Linked DNA regions of Caenorhabditis elegans. The protein of the gene in region 1 interacts with the protein of each later gene in a pairwise test. Each region holds a gene or a part of one and is shown on either strand. Other genes may lie near its edges.

What was found.
Region 2: the proteins of ceh-28 (region 1) and peb-1 interact in a two-hybrid assay, tested with the Caenorhabditis elegans proteins (one large-scale study listed by BioGRID).
Region 3: the proteins of ceh-28 (region 1) and irx-1 interact in a two-hybrid assay, tested with the Caenorhabditis elegans proteins (one large-scale study listed by BioGRID).

The regions. Positions count from the first base shown.
Region 1 is NC_003284.9:13,071,484-13,077,263, reverse strand, and holds ceh-28 (Homeobox protein ceh-28), read right to left. Parts: upstream 2,592-5,780; 5' UTR 2,583-2,591; coding exon 2,360-2,582; intron 2,297-2,359; coding exon 2,175-2,296; intron 1,758-2,174; coding exon 1,662-1,757; intron 1,618-1,661; coding exon 1,528-1,617; intron 1,352-1,527; coding exon 1,277-1,351; 3' UTR 1,172-1,276; downstream 1-1,171. UniProt on the Caenorhabditis elegans protein: Probable transcription factor that regulates neuronal differention, including synapse assembly of the cholinergic motor neuron M4.
Region 2 is NC_003284.9:2,208,215-2,218,019, forward strand, and holds the start of peb-1 (FLYWCH-type zinc finger-containing protein peb-1), read left to right. Parts: upstream 1-2,836; coding exon 2,837-2,881; intron 2,882-4,027; exon of another isoform or gene 4,028-4,318; intron 4,319-5,243; exon of another isoform or gene 5,244-5,366; intron 5,367-5,421; exon of another isoform or gene 5,422-5,803; intron 5,804-6,020; exon of another isoform or gene 6,021-6,368; intron 6,369-6,591; exon of another isoform or gene 6,592-6,777; intron 6,778-7,015; exon of another isoform or gene 7,016-7,232; intron 7,233-7,415; coding exon 7,416-7,538; intron 7,539-7,605; exon of another isoform or gene 7,606-7,727; intron 7,728-7,736; coding exon 7,737-7,838; intron 7,839-7,893; coding exon 7,894-8,067; intron 8,068-8,424; exon of another isoform or gene 8,425-8,687; intron 8,688-8,890; coding exon 8,891-9,088; intron 9,089-9,143; coding exon 9,144-9,731; intron 9,732-9,785; coding exon 9,786-9,805. UniProt on the Caenorhabditis elegans protein: Putative transcription factor. Binds to specific sequence motif 5'-[TC][AGT]TGCC[GA][AT]-3' in regulatory elements of target genes such as myosin myo-2. May modulate gene expression, perhaps acting in opposition to transcription factor pha-4.
Region 3 is NC_003279.8:9,535,051-9,544,009, forward strand, and holds irx-1 (Putative iroquois-class homeodomain protein irx-1), read right to left. Parts: upstream 5,917-8,959; 5' UTR 5,836-5,916; coding exon 5,815-5,835; intron 5,283-5,814; coding exon 4,821-5,282; intron 4,621-4,820; exon of another isoform or gene 4,481-4,620; intron 4,226-4,480; coding exon 3,866-4,225; intron 3,366-3,865; coding exon 3,155-3,365; intron 2,149-3,154; coding exon 2,069-2,148; 3' UTR 1,415-2,068; downstream 1-1,414. Other genes in the region: C41G7.7 (uncharacterized protein), read right to left, coding at 1-12.

The DNA.
Region 1 (5,780 bases):
AAACGTGTGAAATTTCATTAAAAAGTCTGGAATGGGTGAAAACATTTATAAGACTAATTTAATTCTCTAATTCTTCTCACTAATTCAAACGAATTCTTCATAAACTCAAAAATCAACAAAAAGGGTGTATACTTTTTAAGTTTATAAATAATGACAAAGAATTAATTGTACTCAATAGGTATCGCCTCCCACAACATAAAAGATTACAGATAAGACAGAGGAGAAATGGGTTCATTTTGAACTTAAAAACTAACTGTTAGAAATTCAGTTAATGCTACAATATTATTAGTAGAGTTGTGAAATAAACGAATGAAAATTGGTGTTATGACTTTCTGAGTTAGCAGATAATAAAACAAATATGGACAAACGACTAGCGTGTTTATTACGTAGAGGAATGTTTTGTTGTTGTTGTTATGCACGGTAAAATAAATAAAACACGAAGAAAGTGGTGGGAAACAGAGTTGTATTCTATACAGTTTAAATAAATTTGGAATCTAAAGAAATTTTTTTCTTTTTGCTCGAAATTCGCTCGTTTAATGTTCAAAATAAAAAAAATATATAAATATTAAAATAGAGCTATTGTGATATTAAATAATTTTCGCTAAAAGTCTCTAACTTAGAAAAAATATGGAAGGCTCGAAAAACACATTTATGGTGTAAACTGTGAAACAAAGACGATTACAAATTTACTATGTTTCTGTTTCAAACGAACTTTCAACGGTTTGTTGAAGTTCAAAGAAATATTTTACAGATCATCGAAATGCTGAACTTCTGACCTATATTGCTAAAAATCGGAAATATAATCCCAGCGTGTCATACATGGAAGAACATCTCATCAAATATCGTTTTGTTGGTTACGATTAACAAGGCTGCATGTAGTCAACACAGTATAAACCTGTGATTTTAGTTTTTAAATTATTACGGTCAACCCTTCGCCAATTTGCCGCTAGTTAAGCGAGAAGTTGAATAAGTTCAAGTGCACTTCAACACCATTCGGAACTCAGAAAAAGTGTTTCAAGGGCGATTTAGAAGCATTTTCATCAAGAGTGAACAACTGGTTGGCGGTTTGATTCATGAAATCAAATTTAAGTATCGAATGAAAAAACTCATGTTTGTAGTACTATGGCAGAAAGATAATAACTTCTTAGTAACGATATATAACTACTACTTCTCTGTGTGTTTTTATTTATTTTGTTAAATATGCGTCTCAAAAGTTAAACAGTGTAATTGAAAAGAAAAATAGCTATAAATATGAAGAAAAAATTGAAAAAAAAAATCATGATCCAGACGAAGAAGACGATGGTGCAGTTCCAAAGCTGTTTATTCCAAATGGAAATGCTGATGCAAACATCTAAAGCAAACAATTGATTTTTTGAATTTTTAATTTTCCGATTGTTAAACACCTTCCGCACGAATTTTTATGTGAGTTTTGAATTTTTTCGTTCATTGTAAAAGCTGTGTTTATTCAGGTCAAGCACTATTTTTTATATATAATTTTAGCTCTCGTGAAAGGAAAATTAAACTCACTGGATTGAAAGGGATCTGGCTCAATTGTAAGGTTCTGTCCTGGGCTAACCGCTTGCATTTGTATCGGCGATTTTGAAACCAAATTTTCACCTTAAAATGATTATGTAAAACATACAGTAATACGATTACATTACTTGTGTGGCTGTGAGGCCAAGACATTGGGCTAGCTCTTCTCGCTCAGTGGCTGTCACATAACGTTGCTTTTTAAATCGTTCTTCAAGTTCATTAACCTAAAAATGTAGACATTGGATGTGAAGTTGAAAATGAAACAACTCATGTGAAGTATACAAAAACATAGACTATCATGATGCATCTTACTTAATTCGTATTTTTGCATTCTCTAAGAATAAATTCTAGAATGAAATCATTCAAGTAAATTTTTTTTAAACTGATTTAAGATAAAATTGGTTGGTGACTGCCGTAAGATTCATCTAGATATGCTCTCGTGTGTCTTTTCCAGAGATTTTTAAGAATTTGATGGAAAAAATTAGTCAGTATATAGTCAGTTTTGGTTGTTTTTTTCACATTTTCCAGACCGTCTAAGGAGACAATTGGTTGTGTTGAAACTAAATGTTACTACTGTGGTTCAAAATTTTTAACTACTGAAGAGCCCAAAGTTCCTGAACCGGAAATCATAACCCACACACCTGATGTTGTGTGAACAAAACTCTCGGTTTTCTCTTCTGCTGTTGTGATCTCAGATTGATAGTATCTGGATTAGAATGTTGACGGTGATTCTGATAAGATCTCTGATTTTGACTTGGAGAACCTGAAATCATCAAATGGTTTTTCAAACAAGCTTTTATTTTAAATAAATATCGATTGAACTCACTATAATATGAACTTGCACCTAACAAGGATTCTCTCTGCATCAACGGAATAACTGGTTGATATGGATTTGTAAGTTCAGAAAATGACTGATCAAAACCTTCAAATAGATTTAAACGCGACGGAAGTGTATTTTTAAACTCTGAAGGAACTGCAGATTGCTGTGGCGGTTGGATCACTTCACTTGGTAAAATAACAGTAGTAGATGAAATCTGCGTAGATTGCATTGGGACCACTAACTTCAAATTGTGAAAAAGTTCTCTCTAGAAGTTTTGATATTTGAGAAGTGTCATCACGAGTAGGAAAATAGGAGGGATTTTCACACCAAATCATCCACTAACTGTTTGTTATCCATTAGAAGAATTTGACACTTTCCCTCCATCTGCTCAACCACTTGTGGCTCGTTGGAATCTTGGTGTGCACTTATTTGGAAAGAAATTAAATACAGAGGGGTCACCCAGACAGATATAAAACTGCACGATTATTTATTTTTAAATTATAAGAAAAATGACTGCAACAAACGATTTTTGCAGCTTTTGAATTGACTTGTCGGAAAATTCAAGTATCACAACATTCACTGGAAATTATGCAACTGTTAATAAATCCTGAATTAAACAAAAATCTGCTGATAGCTTACAATGTTATTTTTTCAAATAATTAATACTGCAAACAGAGTAATAACACATGGGGTTCTATGTATATTTTATCTGATTTTTCAATATCTCACTAGTCAGTTTTTAGCTTGAACCACGCTTGTCAACATAAATATGATATGTATGGTTAATCATATATGTAGAAGAGTTTGCAACTGATTTTGTACAATATTATGTATACAACTTTCGCCTGAAAATCTTACGTTGACTTCTGTTTTATTTTCAAGATTTCCATAGATTAAAAATATACGTTTTAAAAAAATTCTCTAAAAACAGAAACAAACATGAAGAGTCGAATGCCTTGGTTACTATTTGAATGCATCTATGCTCGACATTTGTACTCCTAGATTTTTACACACATCCATTCAAATTTAGTGAACTTGGAAAACTTTGAAAATGGTAAGTTTTAAGCTAGTTCAAATTTGTTAAATTCATTATTTGCATAAAGTTTTTAAAAATGCGCACTTGGTTTTGGTTTTCTCACAGTTCTCAAAAAGTTATTAGCTCTCTTTTTCTTATACTAGGAAGAAAATATTCATTTCATAATCGATTGTTTTAGTGAAATAAAATATGACATAAAATATGGCGGTTACCCTCGATGTATTCTATTTTATTATTGGATCGAACACCGTTTCAAAAATTTTCCGTTCTCTTTCTTTCCCCTTTTCTCAAACAAAATCATAAAAAGTTGGAATGAGAAACAGCAATTTTCGAATCAGAAACAAAACGTATAAAATTAACGACATTGTGTTCTTCAACAACTACGGTAGAAAAGAATACGTACATTTTAAATGTATTTTTTCACTTTTTTGTATTTTGCAGGTGTTTTGTTTGCGAAAACGAAAATCATCGTCGTCAATGTTTGGATCAAAGAAAAAGATTCCACCTCCCAAGTTTTGCCCAGCTTCTGAGCGACGTAAGTTTACAAAAAAAATTGCCTGTCGATCTCAATAACGGTTCTGCGATTTAGTTGTTAAAAAAGAGGTAAAATTAGTCCAAACCTTTGATATTCGTAATAAGAGATTTCAAAAAAATTAAAGGTGGTTAGCCTCGAAATTGTTTGAAAACACCGAATTACTAATGAAACTTCTTGAAAACTTCTCAGAAAAAAAAGTTATGACGGCTCAAAAATGACATAAAATTAGTTAAAATTTGAAATTTTATCTACTTGTCAATGTCGCAGCTGCTGGAAACATTTTTTTTGTTGAAATCGCCGTCAAATTTTGAGTATACAATGTAACTATCTTGCGTTTTCAACTTCATTTAGATATTTTAAAGTCGATGGACGGCGAAATTTGGTTTTAAAAATTCAAAAATCTCGCCGCCCATCGACTTTAAAAAATCAAAATGCAATTGAAAACGCAGATAGTTATATTGAATACTCAAAAAATGACGGTGATTTCAAAATAAATTGTTTTCAGCCGCTGCGACATTGACAAGTCGGTCGAATTTCATTATGAAATTTGGTGTTTCGAGGCAATTTTAAGTCTAATAAACAATAAAAAACATTCGACTACACCACATTTAAATGTAAAAGGCTGAAGCGTCTTTTAGCAAATTTCAATTTTGTCCGTGTTGCAGTAAATCTTAAATTGTATATAATGGTAGTTTAATACGAGATTTTATGTTGATGCAGGGAAAAAATGTATATCTCAATTGGAAACCTCTTTTGATACAGAAAATGTAACTAAATCATTAAAAATCGCTAAACTAACTATCAAATTATGCAATAATGAGTGATGTTTGAATGAAAACTCATTTCTCTGTAAATATTAAAGACATAACAAAAATTTTCGAATCACATTCATGTTATGCATACGAATCAAACGATATTTGTTATACAGAGTTAACCAAAATCACCAAAAAAAATATTAAAGTTTCAAACATATTTTATTAAAATATTTTTCTCAATTATTTTAAAGTTTTGCAACTTTTCAGAAACCATTGTTGTATTCATTTTGCACAGGTGTTTTGACTTGGAAATGAGTATAAAAACACTATTTTTTTATTGATCATCACAATTATCTGTTGATATGTTGATTTGAATTACTGGAAAGGAGAGTAGCGAGAATTATTGTTCTATAGGACTTAAAATAACCCGAAGATTGGCATTAAATAACCACAAGATCGACATTAAATACCCCCGGCAGTACGAACTCTATATGGTACTTAACAACTGGTTTTATAAAAAAAAACAATGTCATGTAGCTCTACAAATGTTATCCTATAATCCAAATCAAAACAACGTTTTTTTTCAAAGTTGAACACTGATTTGGCAATAATTGACTACATTGCTTTGTGCATTCTTCTTTGGTCGCGAGAATTTCGTTTATTCAAGCATTTATTATTTACGGTAATGATTTTATTATTCCAATCCCAGTTGTCACGATGAGTTTTCAAAATTTCACATCTGTTGCTACCCATCAATCCTTCACAGTCGTATGATTTTTGTTGCTAACGTAATTTTAAAAAAAGGAGACTGAAAAACATATGAAAGCTTTCGTTTTGTCTATACAATACTTATATTCGAAACTTTGAAGCTTCCTGGTCGAAATGGTAGTAGAAGATAATGTTGCGGATAAGGCCAAAAAGAGGCGCATATTTCGTCTCAGCCGTCCAAAAGCTTTGTCACTTGGAGCCAAAGCAGAATTATCACCGAGAGGTAAAATATAATTCAGATTACAGAGAAATGATTACTTTAAAGCGGTTTCCTAATGGAAAATATACTTTTCGTATCCGAAAATTTTATTACGTGTTGGTGGAAATCAATTA
Region 2 (9,805 bases), about 11 Mb from region 1:
AAGTGGGCTGCACATCTTTGCTCTTCTCGAAAAAGATAGGTGAAAGTGTGGGAAGTGCTTGTCGCGACACATGTTGATATGTTTATTCAGTTCACATTTGGCAATATTTTCAAGTGCTTCTAGAGTCGTCTCAATTGCCAAAAGGCTCTTGTTTTTGGGAACAGGACTTTAACGATCTCGTCGTCTTGTAACCCCTGCCATATTGGGGATTTTAAATTCTCCAATTGTTTTGGCGGTTCTAATGTCATGTCACAAAGTTGACCCAATTGTTTTGTAAAAAGTGATTAGAGAAAGTGTGCCGTCAAGGGTAATCAGTTTGTAGATTACGTAAGAACCACACAGTTTTGCGGAAGATCGAGAAGATTGGGAAAAAAGTATGTCAGCACTTAACGTCGGGTGGCAGGTATGAAGAAGTACAGAATTCGCGAAAAACCCCTTTGAAGGACATTTGCGGTGGCGGAGAGTTAATTTAAAGGTCTTCTTTTTCTCAACTGGTTGACCCCCCATACAACACTTTCATTTCCGTCAACTACAAAATAAGGAAATTGTTTCACGTTACTGTCATTTGATCGTCTTTTTCTTTGCATTGAAGCAAAGCGGAGCGGCTCAGTGAGAGCCTCCCAACAAGGAAGTAAAATTGAGTGGGAAAAGACCGTAAGACGAGGACGGCGCTCAACTTTGTGCAAGCCCTGTCTTCTCTACGTTTCGTTCGACGCACGGTTTTGGCACAATTCAACCTGGTGCGGCTCTACAAACACCACGTACGTATAGTGGTGTGCGCGTTGCGGAGAGCCACAGCAAAATAAGTAAGCGAGAATAATTGAGAAGACAAACAGGGGCCCCCTCCCGAGCATAGATGGCCGCCGAGCCACACAGTGATGACCGGCGGCGCTGTCACGAAGGTCCACACCAACGGCGTCTCGATAACACTCTCGGCGCAAGTCAGACCACAAATCGGAAAGAGGTGATGGAAAAAGGTCGTCGCTCCATATTTGCCTACCAGATGCAAAACCGTATAGTTATTCAATTTATGTTTGCCTGTTTATTGGCTCGTCACTACTTTCGTTTGTTGTTGGGCGAGTGACCATTTGGATGCGAAGGCGAAATCGAAACCGTATCCACCCCGTGTTTACTGCTACTTGAAAGTTCTCATCCAGACGGATTCCGTGTTTGAGTGCGTGTGGAGGCCGGAGCAAAATTTCACAGACACAATGAAACAACCTTGTGTAGTAGAAACAGTTTTGTAATTTGAAAAGTTTTTAAAATCAGACAACTGAGATTATATCTCGATTATACAAATCACTTGCTCCGGGTTTTTTTCTCTAGATTTCCATCGGTTTTGGGACTGCACTGGAGATTTTTGGATGAACATGTGAAAATTTTTTAAATAATGCACAGGCCGAACAGTCACACTTTGAAAATAAATTGATGTGATCTATGCAGATAGTTGCAAATTTCAAAAAACTCTACCCCTGAACACTGTCATTCTGCCATGCCATAATTTAGTTCAGTCGGATGAATGACCTTTCGTTGGCCAATTGGATGCGAAACACTGGACGGCACCGAATCGGCACGGCAAGTGGTACTGACAAGCGACAACAAAGACGGATAGACCATCAGTTAAATCAAGATAAGAATTGCTTGTGAACTTTTTCAGATATCGCATTAGGTCGAGAAGTTAATCAAATCATTGCTTTTTGAAGACATCACTGAAAGTGCCAATATTTTAGTAATTGATATTTACACAAGGGACCCCACTGAACTCATCAATTTTAAAATGTGATTTCCAGTTGATGTAAGCAACCAAGAAAAAGGCATATTACTTCAGGTTTTTTGCACTTTTATTTTCCAATCTCACAAATGTGGGCGTATGATGAGCGGCACACTCACGCATCCAAAAGTTTGCCGGATTCATAAAGTAGTATAGAAGTGTCTCACGAGCGTGGAGGGTGGCGCTGGCCCGAAAAAAAAATACGCTGAGACTGTATTGGAAAAGTTTAATCACGTATTTCGCTCGACTCGTCATTTATTTGAGCCTTAGTTTGTGTCTCGCCGTTTTTGGTTTTCCGCCTCTCCCTCATTCCCCCCGGTCTATTCCGAATTTGCCGCGACCCATCACAGGTCACGAACTTTAGTGCCCGCACGCCGCGTTTTGTATCTGCCTGCGCATCTACACGCTGACATACTATTTGTTTGATCCGCGCGGAACTGCCACAAACAACAACAATCTGCGTCCGGCGAAGACGTCGTCACCATATACCCATCTATTGCATCCAACTCATCTCTTTCTTGTATTTAATTCCTTTTTCACACACCCACACACACACACACCACACCACAGGTTGCAAACCATTGTATAATTTTCTGAAAAGCACTGTAACCAATTAGAAAACGATTTTTCAAAAGTGGAGCAGTGCTACATATATGATACCAAAATAATCAAATTTTGTATTAAAACTTTTAAAAAGTCAAAAAAAATCGTTTGAAATGTTTTTTTTACTGACAGTCAAAAAGTGGAAATTTTTAGAGTTTATGCCTCGAACAAAAACTGAGATTTTTCCAATTTCCAATTCCAGTTTGACACACATAGTGCAACTCCAATTGCTCATTATTTTATTAGTTTATTCTTACAACCATCACCCTTTTCCCAGATGTATTTCGTACCATGATGTGTGTATGTGTGTGTGTTAAAAGGTCATTTCAAGCTCTTCGTGAAAGGCACCCTGCTCAGTTTGTGCCCTGTTATGATCAATATAAATGTGTACTTTATTCCAGGGCAACGAAACGAGTAAACACCGAGAAAAGGAAGCATTCTGGATATTCCAAACTGGGGCTGATGATGACAACAACAGTTCAAAAAAATTGCTGGCGGCTTGACCAGGTGAGTGACCAGTTAGATTTGTTCAGCGACAGGCGTTTTCAGTCGGTGGTTTGAGTTTGCACAACTGTTTTCTTGTCCTTTGCGTGAGCCAAGGGGTTTGTGCTGAGTTACCCTCTATCTATTTGTCAGAATACGATGTGATGATCAAAACTTTAACATCATGCATTTTCTTGAGATCCATAAACCCCCCCCCCCCCCCCTCTCGTGTGCTTCTCTGTTTCTCGGTTTGTTCTCCTATTCACCCCGTTCGTTTCAGTGACGTGTCGTCGTTTGTTTCTGCCTGCCAAATATGGCTACGGGGGGGAATATGAATTAAATTGACTTGGTATCTATCATTCCATTTTTATTTTCTGGGAGATGTCAAGAAATTTTGGAGACGAGCGGTTTTTAAAATTAATGTAGTTTTTTTTGTTGTGTTCTCACATTTTAGTTTTCTAATCGGGGAAATGTTGGAGTAAATTGTAATTGATAGGTACACATTTACTTATCAATGGTTCACAGTTTCAGTTAATTATCAGTATTCATATGCGTTTTTATCTTTTGTATAATTTTAACATTCTACATTTTGCAACCAAAAAGCTCTCTATGTTTCTCCTTTACGGGCGGAAAGTAGTGCTGGCTTGTACCATTGCCAATCAGCTCTTTGATTAAAAAACCAACATATCAGTTGACAGTACCATTTTGCCCCTGCTCGACTTCAATGGGCCGCGCCAGATGAGTCAGCGACCTTTGCACACGAGCCCGGACAGTGCTAGGCGCCGGGGCATGACCAATGCGCGAAAGTTTTGTTGCGTAACCGCATGTTTATTGTCCGCTTGCCAATCGTTTTCACTTTTAGTGATACTTGCAGCTCGCCCTCGTCGTTATATTTTTTTTCTGACCGTCGACGCTTGCTTGCCTTCTCCGAAAAGTTTTGATATAAAACTAGCAGTATTTTTCGTTCTGTGGCTCATAGTTTCTGACGTCTTCCTCTTTATGACTTTACGCGGAAGAAAAGGGCAACATCTAAAACCACCCAGTAATATAAAGTGCGCGGTTTCGAGGGAACAGTTTCGAGAGAAAGATTAAGTAGATGAAGGCAGAGAGAACCAACATTTGCAAATATAGTACTAGGTTGGAGGAGTGCCTCGGCGCTGCGATGCCTGTCTACAAGTTTGCACTTGGCTGGTCAGTGGCGTTACGTGCCACTCTCTGTACTGCGCGAGACGTGGCCAAACTGATGCGAAGCACAATATATACACGCCCCGAAGGGTCATTGTTTGCCGTTTGCCCCCCCCCCCCTTTGCGGAAAGGCCTTTCGTACTGTACTCTTGATGTGTGCTTCCTTCCGGCCGGGCACCCGCCACCGTGGTTGTCACAACTCGGATGGCTCCCACTTCCTCCACTGTCGAAACCGTTCGGACCGCCCATTTCCATTTTGGCTCACGCCGGGCTCTCGCACACATACTTTCCACACTTCTACTGTCAGTGGTGGCAACTGGAAGCACTCCATAGTTGACTAATGACCTTTCTAACCTTGTTCCCTGTACTAGAGCTATCAATTGTGTATCATTTCTCTTTTACACTATTTCATGTTTGAATTTTCGAACAGGGGGTCAATCTCTGAGGCAGGAAGGGTGGAGCACCAGTAACGCACTTTACTCGTTTTGCCTTGGCGCGTTCATTGTTCCATTTCACAATTTTTCTCCTAATTTTCTAGACCACTTCAGTTTTTAGAAGCGCTAGATGTTGTTTCATGAAGTGACCAGTCTTGCGTGTTCAGTTTTTTTCTTGGCGTAAATGCCCACTCTTCTTCTTTTCTCCTAGCTGCCCCTTCTTCACTTTCTCCAAATCAAGGTTCAGCTATAGAAAGTAAAATCGCCTTTCACTCATCCTGGACAAGATTGACTACGAGCTTTTGCAGCTTCTAAGACTTCTTCGAGAATGGGGGGGGGGGGGGGGGGGGCGCGACGTGAAAATGAAGGGCATTCATGGATCCCGTAGTAAATATGTGATATCATCTATACCAATTTTCTGGATATCGAACTAATCATTGACGATTGCAAAATTTCGAAAAATTTGTAGGAGAGAAACGATTTCATCTGACCGATCCGAGACTGGCACCCCTTTGTTCTAGGCCCTCTCCCGATTGCCATAGAGATGTCCATCCATCACCTTTCCTGACAACCCCAGATGGTGGCGTATGTGTATGTGTGTGTTTTTTGACTAATTGGAAACGAAAAGCCGACTCCAGACTTGTAATTTTGCTCCAGCAATGTTTTTTTTCCAGATCTTTTCAAATTGACGAATCTGCCTTTAAACGTTTCGTGATAGACATAGAAATTGACATCCGGTCAAATAATTAGATGAAAAAACCTTCCATATTGGGGGCAAAACGTCCAAGTGAGAGTGGATCGGCGACTGGCGCCAAATTGCTGCTGCCGACGCAGTTACCATACTTGGATGTCGGACAAGGCGGATTTCGAGAGTTGTTTTTATGTACACACGCCTTTCACCTCTTTGCCCCTTGTGATCTTTTTTGCATTCGTTAGACGCTTCTTTCATTTTCGTTCCTCATCACCATCATCATCCACTACTAATGGTTCAGGGCACGGCGTATGCGCGCGCGTGCCTCACACCATCGGATCGCGGATGTTTTGGCGGGGTTGGCTGTTCATTTAGGGGGGAGGCGGCCGATTGAAATGAAGAAGATGTTGTGGATGTAGAAGTAGGAGGAGATGGAGGAGGCAAAGGCCTTCTCCCTCGCGGTTCTTCGTGGCAGGCAGCCTGACCCCGTTCCTTACTGAACCGCCCCCCCCCCCCCCCTCTCACTTCCACCCGACGCCGCCATCGGAATTTTAGACTACCAGTAGAATATGGATAGCGGAAGGTGTGAAACTTCAGACTGCGATTCTCTAGATTCACGCTTACTGTATTTCTACCTTACTACTAGTCTTGTTACGATTACCTTCCTAATTTTAACGTTTGATATGTTTTCACCTTCGGCTTCTATACAATTCCCATCATCTTGAAATAGGTATTATCAGCATGTAAGCATGCCAAACAAATATTTTTGTTGTCCAGTGGTGCTCGACCGTTCCAGGATCGGTATTATGCAATTTTTCGCTGAACCAAGCATATACATACTGATAAGAAAAATGTTTGTTCTGTCGGCCACTGATTACTAGACACTTGAATTCTGACCGCCATAAATGGCGAATCGTACGCGAGAAGTGCTGACGCCGTCTTGCGCCGATGTCCAATAGGACCTTGCACTTTGCCGATGTTGCAACAGTAATAGTTTCCATCAAGGTTATGCGGACTAGTGCCACGCGATTGGGTCAAGCCGTTGGCTTCCGCCTTTCTTATCAAAATCTTCGCCCTCAATTACCTAATTTTGTGGTTTTTTTTTTCTCTCCCGAATCCATCAATCCGGTGTCAATCCGTGTCTTCCGCGCTAGGTCATGCGGGCGGCGACGGCGCGGCCCTTTTTTCGGTAATCGTCCTGGCATCCCACACTTTCCATTGGCCCGGATATAATAACTTTTTGGAGACCCCCTTTCTGGTGCCTATTTGCAAAACTTGCTTCATTTTTGGTCACTTTTACTCGAACTTTCTCTTCGACGATGACCCCCTCGCCCGCCACAAAAACAAAAAGTGAAACTTGGAACGGTACTCGTTATACCTCATGCCTTTACTTTCTCGCGCCACTTCCTCGCAGTATTCCATGGATGGAAAAGCGGTCAAAAAAGTATTATGATCAGGCTGGCGGAAGATAGATGGAAGGAATTGTGGGTCAACGAAGTCAAAACACCATTACTCGATAAAAGTCGCCGCATGTTGCGGAATGTGTGCCATCGAAACTGGTTACTGTATTTCTTTTCCGAGAATTTTGCTTTGCCCCGCTATCAACTTTTTGTTCTATCTTCTTTAGAAATTCCGAATTAAATAATGATAATCATATACTTCTGTATTCTTTTTAACCCTTCTTTAGTCTGTTTTTGAAATTTCGACCAACCACCTCAACAAAATTTACCAAAATCAAAAAAAAAAGTGAATGTGTCAATCTCGTTTCAACGCATGTTTCTCGCCAATTTCCGTACAGTCAGTTGTGCCTCCTGCCGGTCACTCATCCTCTATCTCTTCGCCACTCTCGTTCTCGCGCACCTCATCCAAATAACAGTATTCGGTGTCTTAGTTGGCAGCCGGTTGGTGCCTGCCACGATAGGTTATCAGTTCAAATGGCACGCGCCTCTCTCGACTGCCCCATCAGCTGATTTGTCCGCCCCAAGCAACTGATAGTGCCTGGGGCGGAGAGATAGATGAGAAAAAATCGTCTGATTCTAGGTGTCTGAACCTCGCTCGCTATCCAACAGCAGGTCCGCTCGTTTTTTTTGTCACATCTCTCTTCGTTGGTCATATCTCTTTTTCATCATCTGTCTAGTTTGAGTTCAATTTCTAATTCATCAGAGGTCATTTGGTTATTATTATTCTATTGCTCCCATCGCTATTTTTTTTTGCTCATTTGATTTAACACATCAATTTTCCTTTTCAGACAATGCTGGGTCTTGAAAAGCCTGGATCATCAGACATTTCGTCTTCTTCCACTGATACTTCCGCCATTTCTCCGATTAGCGTGAGCAGTATGCCACTATCACCGGACAAGGAAAAGAAAAAGGTAAGTACTTTGAGATAACTGTTTGGACTGTCCGAAGGGCAAACATAGTTTTGAAAGAGAACGTTTGCATAGTTGACCGGTGTTTGTTCAGACGGAAAATTTAGGGCTTCCTTCCCACACGAATTTCAAAACAACCTGACACCGGGAAACACCGCCTTAACTGGCGATTTTGGGCCGATAATAATAGTTTTTTTTCAGATCTCATTTGTCCGATACAATCCAGACATTCCACAAATTGTCACATCTTTCAAAGGATATCAAAAACTTATGTATCAAGGCTACCGATATAATATTTATCAGGTATCATAGACCATCATTCAAGTGGTGACTTTCATCACGAGTTGTTTTTTTTCAGATTGCTCCAGAACGTAACTTCAAGTCTTGGAGATGCGTTTGCGCTAAGAAAATGCATGATGGGCAGTGGTGCAAATGCCGAGCTGAAACAACCATGGATAATAAAAACGCATGCACGAAAGGATCACACAATCACCCTCCAAGACACCATGTCGCTGAGATCGAATTTATCAAGGTACGTGGCGAGATTACACAGTCACAACTGTCTAGGTTAAGAGCTAGTGCCCTTTGCAATTGGCGCAGTGCCAGATCAGAGCACCGATATCATAAGGTTGAATTTGCCAGCTGACTCTTTTTGTTCCAATTGGTTCCTAGGCTTGGCGCCTTCAAGTTCGAATTTCATAACGTCATGTGGAACCTCTAGCTTTTGAGAGTGTCTAAGGGAATTGTGTGTACGTGCAAAAAAGATAACTTTTTTTTATTTCGTAACCCTTAAAAATTCACTTCATGGCACCAGTAGATGGAAAAAAAAGATCGTCGGCCCTTTTCGAGTGTGTCAAAAATAGTTTGTGTATACAAGTTAAAAGTGCAACGAGATGCGCTACTTTCGGCGCTGGGTGGCGCCGCCGAGTGCCTAGGTCAGTTGCGATGTTGGTCAGGTCAAATAAAACAATCTGAGCGTGGCACGGTTCGAAACATCGGCCACTCATGCGCGTGCCGCAATTTTGCCCCCCTCCTCCCTCCCATGTTGATGAACCGCGAATAATTCGCAAACAGATCCGCGCATTGCCAAGGTCAAGCCATGGATGGCAGGCACGCGGCAGCGCGCGCGGGGACAGGCTGGGCCATACCACCCGACTCGTTAACCTAGATGCGCCAATTTTCCCAAATCTATTGCGTCGCTGCCATTCAAATTGACGGTACAAACTTTTTGCGAATTCTTCCGAATTGGGTCATCGGAAGGGTCAATTCTGACGCAATGTAAAGTGCATCGAATTTCAAATCCTGATTCGACCTTTGTAGATGCAGTTTAAAAATACAAAATTATATTATTTCAGTCTCAACTATACTCTGCTGCCTTGGAAAATCCGGACCACGATGCTGGAGATCTTGTGAATCAAGCTAGCATGTACTTGAGTGATGGAGTGATGTTTGATAACAAGGAGAGTATAAAGAAAAGCCTAGTTGTTGCCAGAAATAAGGATGGAAAACCAAAGAAGCCAAGAAGTAAACGAATGATGAAGTTTGAAGTTGATGTAAGTTTTCGGTTAGAGAAAAACTAGTTTATTAAACTGTAATTTGTAAATTCAGGACGATGACGAGAATGAGTACAAAATGCCTAAACTGGAGACTGATATTTCATGCTTTTTGCCATTCATCAATAATATGGTCAAAGTTGAGCCACCATTCAGCCATACACCGACTATTCAAATTCCTCAACCTATCCCAACTCCTATCCAACATCAACAACAAGAGCAAAGCAATTTACTTCAGCCTGCAACGTTGAATGGTATGAACAATCCATGGATGGGAATGGAAGATCACCTCGCAATGATCTGGGCGGCAAATGCTATGTTGAACCCAGGCCTGGATGTACTTTCCACTATTGCTGCACTTTCCAAGCATCAGCAGCATGTCCAAGGTCCATCGCCTCAACAAGCTGCAACGGCTCCAACAACTGCTTCCCTTTCTTCAAATCTTTCTGTCAGTAGCTTCACACCGCAAATGCCCAAGGAAGCTTCCATCGCAATTCCAGCTCCACTTCAGGTGCTTAACTTGAAAGATCTGAAACCTCTTCCACCACTCGCGAACATTCAAACGAGCCCAGTCATTCAAGCAGCCAATCTACTTTTGCCAGTAGCCGCGTTGAAAAAAGATTCGAGCACTCAGACCACAGAGGTAGCTTACGACACTCTCACGTGATGACATCATTGTGATTTTTTTGTTTTTCAGGAAATCAAAGTATCTCAGTG
Region 3 (8,959 bases), on another chromosome or scaffold:
AACGTTTGACATTTTTGAGATGTTTTTGAACAAATAATGAAAAAGAAAGAATGGTGAAAGGATTTCTTGAAAAATATTTTATGTGCTCAAATGCGCAGGATGTATCCATAGAGACAATTCACTTGCTCATGCTTTTCCAAATTGTATAGTCATGAATAATGGAAAAAAGAAAGAAACTTTGAAATGTTGAAGGATAAAAGCAAATACAGCATAGAAAAATACCACATTTTCAGGTATTTCAGGTATTGATTTCTACAAGTTTAATTGATAATAGCAAGTGTTTAAAACAGTTAACTAAAGATTTGAAAACATTTTGAGAAGATTTTTTAATTTTCAAAGATGCAAAATGAGATTCCGGTATTGTGCCTAAATATTTTTTCTTTTTTTTTTGTATTTTGGAATAATGCGATTATTTCAAACGATTTAAAGCACATTCTGCCTTTATTGCATTATGTTATCTGAAATTAGAATCCACGATTAAAAATTATATTTTTTGAAACAGTTCTAAAATGTGGAACATTAAATATAAAGGTGGCAAATTTGGTTTTGTCTCATTTCCAAATTTTCCAAGAATCCAGACAACACAAATTCATTGTTTTCTAAGCTTCACCGATGTTTGTTTAGACGTCGTTGTCGTATCTCATTTTCAATTAGGCGTTTACATGGGTCACCGAGATGTGGAAAAATAAAGAGAAAATGCATGTAATTCCTTGTTTTTAGAGATATGGTGTGTGTGTGTGTGTCTAATGAATGAAATCTGCTGTTTTTGTTTTCACTGATTCATTTTTCACATTAATTTGAAACTACGCTTTGTAAATAGTAGGTCAAAACATTTAACAAGACAATACATAATCTGGAATTTTTTTATCAAGTGGAAATTTATTTATTTTATCAGATTTTTTAAGAATCATGATATTTCTTTTTAAAAAAAGCTTCCAAAATGTACATATGTCTACATTTACACATCCCCTAAATTTCAAGAGGTCGGCAAAAAACAGTAATGGGAAAATAAACTAAAAAGACTTCAATTGAATTTTTAAGTGGAAATTTAAAAAAAAAACGCTAAAACGTCTAAATATCATTGTGAACCTTTTCAGAAATTTTTATTTACAGCCAAAATGTGGTGATAACTTAGTTTTACCAATCATAATTTGACAGTCGACCAAAAAAAATATATCATCAACCAGTTTTATACGTTTTTAATTTTGTTTCTATAACCATTTGTGTTTTAAAAATTCTATGTTTTTGAACATGAAGCAATGCTCAAAATTACTTTAAAAGTGCACGTTCTTGATAACCGAAATGTTGTCACTAATTCAGCCTGCAATTCTTTGAAATGGTTGCAGTATTTTGTGCAATTAAATGTATATCCATTTTCATGATTTTTTGTTAGCTTAAAATATATTCAAGAAATAAATATTAAACCTTCTTCATTTTCTAAATTATGCGTGCAGGTTGTTGTATCTTTCTCACAAAAAACTGTAAATTGTCAAAGAAATGAGATGGGATTGTAAGAAAAGTGGGTTTGCGTGAAGAGATTTGAAGCGAATTGGTGGGAAAAAGCAAGAAAAAAAGAAAATTGTTTCTAAAGTACTCCAATTATTGGCGGGAAATTGAGAAAACCGATCATAAGCTCAAAAACTAGATGCATCCTGTGAAAAATTGTGTGGAATTGAAATAATAATAATGTTAATAATGTGAGAAAAAACTGGGAGAAATTGGGGGAAAAAATAGAGAAAGAGAGACAAAAAATTCATAGTCATGGAATTCATATAAAGTTTAAAAGAACATAAAAAAGCAAATGAATGAGAAAGAAAAAGCCTATATGGTGCTACAGTAACCGAATGAAATTTTTGATGGGATGTGAATATTTGGGAGACAATACTGTACTGTACATAGAGAGAGACCAAAATAATCGAAACTTAAATGGGATGGAGAAAAAAATGAAATTCAAAGACCCGCTGTTTATATCATATTTTCTCGATTTCAGAGTTCTTAGTGGAGGAGGTGAAACTTTGAGAGAGTACAATATTCATTTAAAAAAATTAAACTTAATAAGCTGGGGTTTCTACTCTTGGTGGGACCGTGGAGACGACGTTGGAGAAGATGCTGGAGATGGCGTCGACGTCTCCGCTTGAGAGTTCAGACCTGAAATTATTTATTCATTAAAATCAAGGCTTAAAAATTGTTCAAAGATTTTTTAAATATTGTATATTGCAATAAACCTAGGCACCAAGTCAATTAAGCTATATTTCAAAAGTTTTTGAAATTTTTAGTTTTTGAAAGTTTTAAGATTGAGTTGTGTGAAAAATGATCTGATTTTTTGAAAATTATTAAAATCTCCAAAAAGCTTTCAGAATGTTTTTTGCATCTAAACAACCTTAAAATCACTAAAATAATGTAAAATCCGGATTTAGAGCAGCTTGACATGCTTGTATTTGAAGGAATGCTCTGAGAAATTTCAGTTCAACGTTTCAAATAAGACTAGGCTTTCTAGTTTTTCCCCATATTGGTCAACTAGAATTGCTTTTACATGTTCAATAAGTTATAAGAAAGTGTTTCCCATCAACTATACGAACGGATCAAATCGGCAATTTATCATTCGGTGACTTGACTCCGGGAGCAGCGCTCCTTTTTTGGACAAAAACTGAGTGACGAAGAACACGCGGTTTAGAAAAACGAGCACACTAATCCGTGGGGTCAATGAGGAGACACTTACTTCAGTTTAAGCCCTTTTTCGTTGCCTTTGACGTTTCGAACAAAATTATTACATAGAAAAGAACTCCTCTTTCTGAGCTAAAACATTTGAAAAGGATCTAGAACTTAAGTGTAGACCCTCTTTTGTTAATGCCTATCTAGAAGCTGTAGCTACTGAACTTTCCCCTTATAATGTGTATCAGAAAACATACACCTATTATCAGTAAATATGGGATGATTAGTGCATTAAATAGCAAAAAAACTGAGCGTCACGACAGGATAACAACTTTAAAATTAAGAGGATTACGTTTCGACTTTTCTTGTTCATGTACAAGCACGCACGGTGTTCAACTAGCTGTCAATCATTCGGAATACCCAAAAAAAGAATGATAAGAAAAAGCAGACAGGTTGCCATGTAACAAAATGTAAGAAAAGTGTATTCACCTGCTCACCTCACCTGCTTCATTTGGAGGAGTTGTTTGTGGTGCCAAAAGTGCAAGTTGTTGCCCTTGAGCAGCTTGTTGGGCTAGAAGTTGGAACATGAATGGGTGCATTGTGTGACGGAACAAAGTTGGATCCAATCGTGCCATTACTTCCATTTGTTTTTTCATTGCGTTTTGGAACAAGCTTCCCGTTAATAGATTTTCGTCTGATGATGGTGGAGAATCCTAAATAAAAAGATGTTTGCTAGGGGTTACCATTATTCATCATCTTGAACTAAATTACTTCACTTTAACAACTTTATGAAAAATATAAGCTGCCAAAAGGCACTGCTGTATGCTTCAATGTATCTTCCAAGTACAGTAACCCATGCCTAAACTTTACAATATGACCCCCTGATCTCCCATCAATTCCTTAATGTACTTTATGAAAATGTATAAAACCATCATTCAATCATGTTTGTTGTTAAAGCGGCACAGTTTTGTCGGCTGCTTCACACTCACCTCACAAGTTTGCACATACACACATACAAATGATTCATACTAGTTTACATCTCTATAAAATGTGCAGAACAAGATGAAGGGAGAGGAGGACTCTTTATTTGCCCCTACTAAACATATAATAGTTTTTAAGTCCATTTCGTAAAACTGTTAGAATAAGAGGGAAGATGGGGAAAACTATAAAATCTGTACAATGTATTTTATGATCTAAACTTTTTTGCTCTCACCTTCTTTGATGAATCGTCATCTGAAGTGACATCGGCAATCGACCACATTTTTGGTTTACGCTTCGGACTTTCAGAATCATCATTTGGAATTGGGGATACTAGTTCTTTCTTCGGTGTTGTCAACTCATCTGATCCTCCAGATCCTCCCGAAGGCGTTGGTGATGCTAGATGTGGCTTTCCGAATAGGGATTCTCCTTTTCTTTCGGAATTTATGGATGTTGAGCTTGATGGACGGTTCATGTCATCATCATCGTCGTCTTCATCGTCATCACAACCATCGCCTCGTCGATTTTGTGGTGACCAAGTCATCTTGTTCTCCTTCTTCAGTCGTCTTCTGGCGTTAGCAAACCATGTCGAGACCTGTAATTAAAAATATAAATTTCAAGCTTCGGCTTTGTTTTTCGGGCTAGAGTTTATTTTAATAAAATAACTTCAAAGTTTTGGTTCAAACAATTTTAAAATCTAATTTTTGGCGCCAAGGTTGTGTGTTGTTGGTCTATTGCAACAAAATCAAACAAGTAGTAGCCCTATTTGGTTTGAAACATTTCTCGTATTGTGTAAAGAATGTCTCTCGAAACACATTAATTAAGCGGGGTACGAGGTGTCATCATCATCGCTTATCGCCTCTGTACATCTTTTGTTTCTCGCCCCTCTTTTTTTGGCATCGGTCAAAAAAGGAGACATTTGCCCCCGGGGTTTGATGGCCGGTGAGTGGCTAATGTTACAATAACACTGCGGGAAACACTGTCTACTACATTTTACAACAATATTTTTTGTGGTATTTGTAATTGATGACTAGAGGCGGCTCTAAAATCCCGTGTGAGCTAATAAATTGAGCAAATATTGTGGAGTAAATTACGAGATTACGGTTGGTAATAGGCTATTACGGCTATTAAATCATTTCACAGTGTTGCATTTACTAATTGTTGTCAAAACAAGAAATAATACAACATACCTGTGTAAGTGTCATTCCTGTACCAACTGCCAACATAACTTTATCAGCTTTTGATGGATATGGATTCTTTCTATGAGAATGAAGCCAATCTTTGAGTGGTGCAGTTGCTTCTCGTGTTGCATTTCTTTTCTTGATTCCATCTAAACCATATGGATGATATAAACGATGAGCATCACTGAAGAACATGGGCATCGGTCCTGGCCCTCCACCTAATAACATTTCTGGTTTCAGATCTGCTGGAATTCCATGTGGAAACATCGGAACTCCGGGGAAGCCAGCAAGAGTTGCTTGTTGAGCGGCGGCGGCGGCTTGAGCTTGAGCAGCGAGAACTTGAGCCATGGCAGGATGGAAATGAAATTGACCTAAAAGGTTTGGTGGCAGAATTCCGCGAAGTGCATCCGGAGCTGAAGTGGGTGGAGCAGGAGTCGTTGTTTGTGGTGTTGTGGGCTCTTCCATTTTGACCTGGAAATGGATTTACTTTTCTAGTCAGGTGAAGTGAAGGTATCCAAACGAATAAATCTGACATTTGGCATCTAAATTTTTTGGAAGGAAGTATTTTGAGACTGTGTTCAAATGTTGTCTAATCTAAGATTTATGTAAAAATTGGTAGGAATCGAAAACGAAAACCTTGTCCAAGCTTTGACAACTTCTCAACTGCAATTTTCTATATTAGACTTGCACCCCCCTCTTCCTTCACTTTGACAGTTTATATCTCAGTTCTTTGTGGTTTTATTAAAAAACTTCAAACGGACAATTTACTTGCAAAATAATTTTCTATGTTTTGGTTGTATAACACTTTTTGATAAAGCTGAAGGCAACCGAGATATAAACCGCCAAGCAGTGGCGGTGCAAGGTTAACATGGCAATTGGAAAGAGCAGGAAGTTGACTCCAAGTGTCAAGAAGGACAAAAATGAAATAAATAAATGTAAGAACACTACTTGAGAATATAGAAATTATAATTTAGCTTATTAAACTTATCGCTTAAAAACTGACCTGATTGGCAATAGGAATCATTGTGATGGTGTAGTAGAAGTAGATGTGTTGATCTCAGTACAAGTGCAGAAACAATAGTTGATAAGTATGATTATTTATGATCTGAAGAACACATTGATATCAGTTATAATTCCAGAGCAGTTTTTTGTTGAAAAAGATAGACAGAGAGAGTGAGAGAGAGGCAGAGAGGCGACGAAATCAAGAGGGAGCAAAGGAGGAGCGATTCAGTGATAAGCATAGAAGAGAAAGAGAAAAGGTTTGATTGATAATTCTTGAAGAAATTGAGATGATGTAGAACTATGTGGGACCTTATGTTCAACAACTTGTTGAGCAATCTCGATTTTCTGCAGATGCCCGCCCGGGGCCGTGTGTGTCTCTCTCTCTCTCTCAAGTCCCGCCCACCATCCAATAGACATGGAAGCCACAGGGCGGGGCCTGGAGAGTAGGGAAAGAAATTGAAGAAGCGCAAAAAACACGTGCGAACACGTAGATTTAACAAGATAAACCGGAGAAATTCACGAAGAGAAACGGAAAAGAATCGGAGTAAAGAGAAGTAGAAGAAGATGATGATGAAGGATACAAGAATCGAACGGAAAGAAAACAAATTGATGATATGGCAACTAAAAGAGATTGAAAGATAAACAATTAACCGTTCCAGCTAATGATTGTAAGAATGATGATGGTTTTGATATCTTACTATTTCATTGTTTAGTGTTATTATTTCCAAGTTTGATTCTAGAATTGTTATTTTTGTGCAAAAAAAATCTTTCGAACCTAATACCTCTCTACCTCTACCAATTATCAAGTTTGGGAATGAAAATTAAGAAATACAAGAACCAAAAATCTCAATAAATGTATTCACAAGGACGAAGAGCAAACAAGTTGTAAATTTGCTGGCTGGCTCACGAATGGAAACTGAAAATTGAAGCAAATAACGGGAAGAGGAAGCTTTGGAAGGATCATTGCATAGAGTTTAATCCGAAATATTGGCAGGATGAAGAGAAAAAAAGTATAAACATTTGAAAGTTAAAAAGTAAAACGACGGAAAATCTAGAGAGTACTATCAAATGACCCGAACACACAATGGCGCCACGAACAAAAAAAGGACAAAGGAGAAGAAGCTGAAATCAGTGAACTTAAGTCAAGAATGATACATCGTAGAAGCAATTAGGTAATGGTCAGAACGGTTTGTAGGGGGACAAGAATTGAGAGAATAGAAGTTTAAAATGGCATGTCTCTTGTTGTCCGAAGCGGGGTGTAAAGAAGTGTAGCTGCTGGATAGGGGGCGCCGGCGAGAGTAAGTGGCCAACGATGGCGCTGATGACGATGATGAAGAAAAAGAAAATGGAGAAGAAAAAGGTAAAAAAAGAGGACACGGTGTAATACATTTACTATTGTGTCAGTTATTGTGTTAACATCTCTCTTTGGGTCATTCGATCATTTAGTTATTACAACATGTAACAACAACACATATATAGTAACATAAAGTTGCAACAAAAAAAGTTCAATGGCGGAAGTTTGTACTAATACAGGAAGATGTAGGTACATATGAGCCAAACAAGACAAAAAGGTGTATGGTAGGGAGATTGATGTCAAACGATGATGAGAAAGCGATGGAGGAGGAGTCATTGGGCGGAGTCAATCGCCGGGGGAGGAACACGGGAGGTAGGAGGGTGTAGACATGAGGTCGCGGCACAATTTATGAGGAGCTGGAGCCAGAAGATGATGAAGCTGTGGAATTGAAGTAGAAGAAGCAACTAGTTAATGGGTTTTGGTGCTTTCCAGAGAGCGGTGTTGTTTTTTGTGAAAACACTGCTCACTTTTTTGTTAAATACATGGAATACGGTAGTGGTTGCAGAAAGGAAATACTTGGAGGTAATTAACGGAAAAGTTAAGCGTTCCGTTTAATCGAAAAAAGCGGGAGAAGAGTTGAATTCGACGGTGAAGAAGAAGTTGAATGTACCCAAGAGATTGAAGAACATTTGTTGATTTTTAAGAACTTCCAAAATAGTGGTTTTCCTAACTCATAAATGGGGTATTTTTCAACGAAGAAACTTGAAATGATCCAAACACGCAAGGCTTTTCCCTTTTAAAAGTTTAAAAGCTTCAAGCTAAAAACATTTGGTATAATTTTTAGGGATTTTCTTTGCCGCCGTTGTTTTTTATAGCTTTGTCACTAAAAAAATTTAAAGACCGTTAATCCAGAAAAATCAAGAGCAAAACCTGCTATCATAAACTTTTCATCGCGTTTTTTTATGAAAATGAAAAGTTTCTATATTGAATTTACTACTTGAATACCGAGCATTCGGATTATTACTTTGTTTTAACCAAGAGCAGATATAGAAAAATTGTCTGCCAGTATACAACTCTATTAAAGTTGCAATAATCTCTATGATACCCATAATATAAGTACGAGAGTGTTTTTGAATACATTGCCATATCTATAATTACAGTTCTTATTCTAACAGCTGGTAGAGACACCTTCTTGCCATTGTACCAAAACACATCGATCAACTCATACATCATGACACGTGTCTACAAAAAGGGGCATGAACTGGAAGAACTTTAGCAGGTGGGATATTTCAGATGGTACAACAATATATCTTAATCTGATCTTGCTATATAATATGGAAATTTATGTCATGTTATATACGTGGAACAGTAACCCAACTGTTAACATCGTCAATACCTGTAGTAGGAATTGATGAGATAAGACTGATACGCGGGACGATATATATTCATAAAAGTTGGTATTTACGAGAGGGAGAACAATCTAATATCACATTGTTTTTGCGCAAAGGAACATGAATTGCCGTTGTCGAAAAACGATGTATGGAGCCGAGGGGCGCAAAAAAAGTGAAATTGTGTGTTTTGTGTATGTTTCCTGTACACGAAGAGCGCGAGGAAAGAAATGTTCAAACACTTGACAATCCGTGTTAACGATATGTTTGTCTCAGATTATCGACGCTTAACACAGTCAGAGTGATGGGAAAGTGAGCATTATCGTTCGCTCGTTGGCACCACAACTTGTATTAGATGATCAAACTACAGTAATTGAGCACAAAAAGTGTTCTGTACCAATTGAAAATTTCAAACTAAAAATTATGGAAAATGATTCGGATGATTCAAATCTGCTTTGATGTCA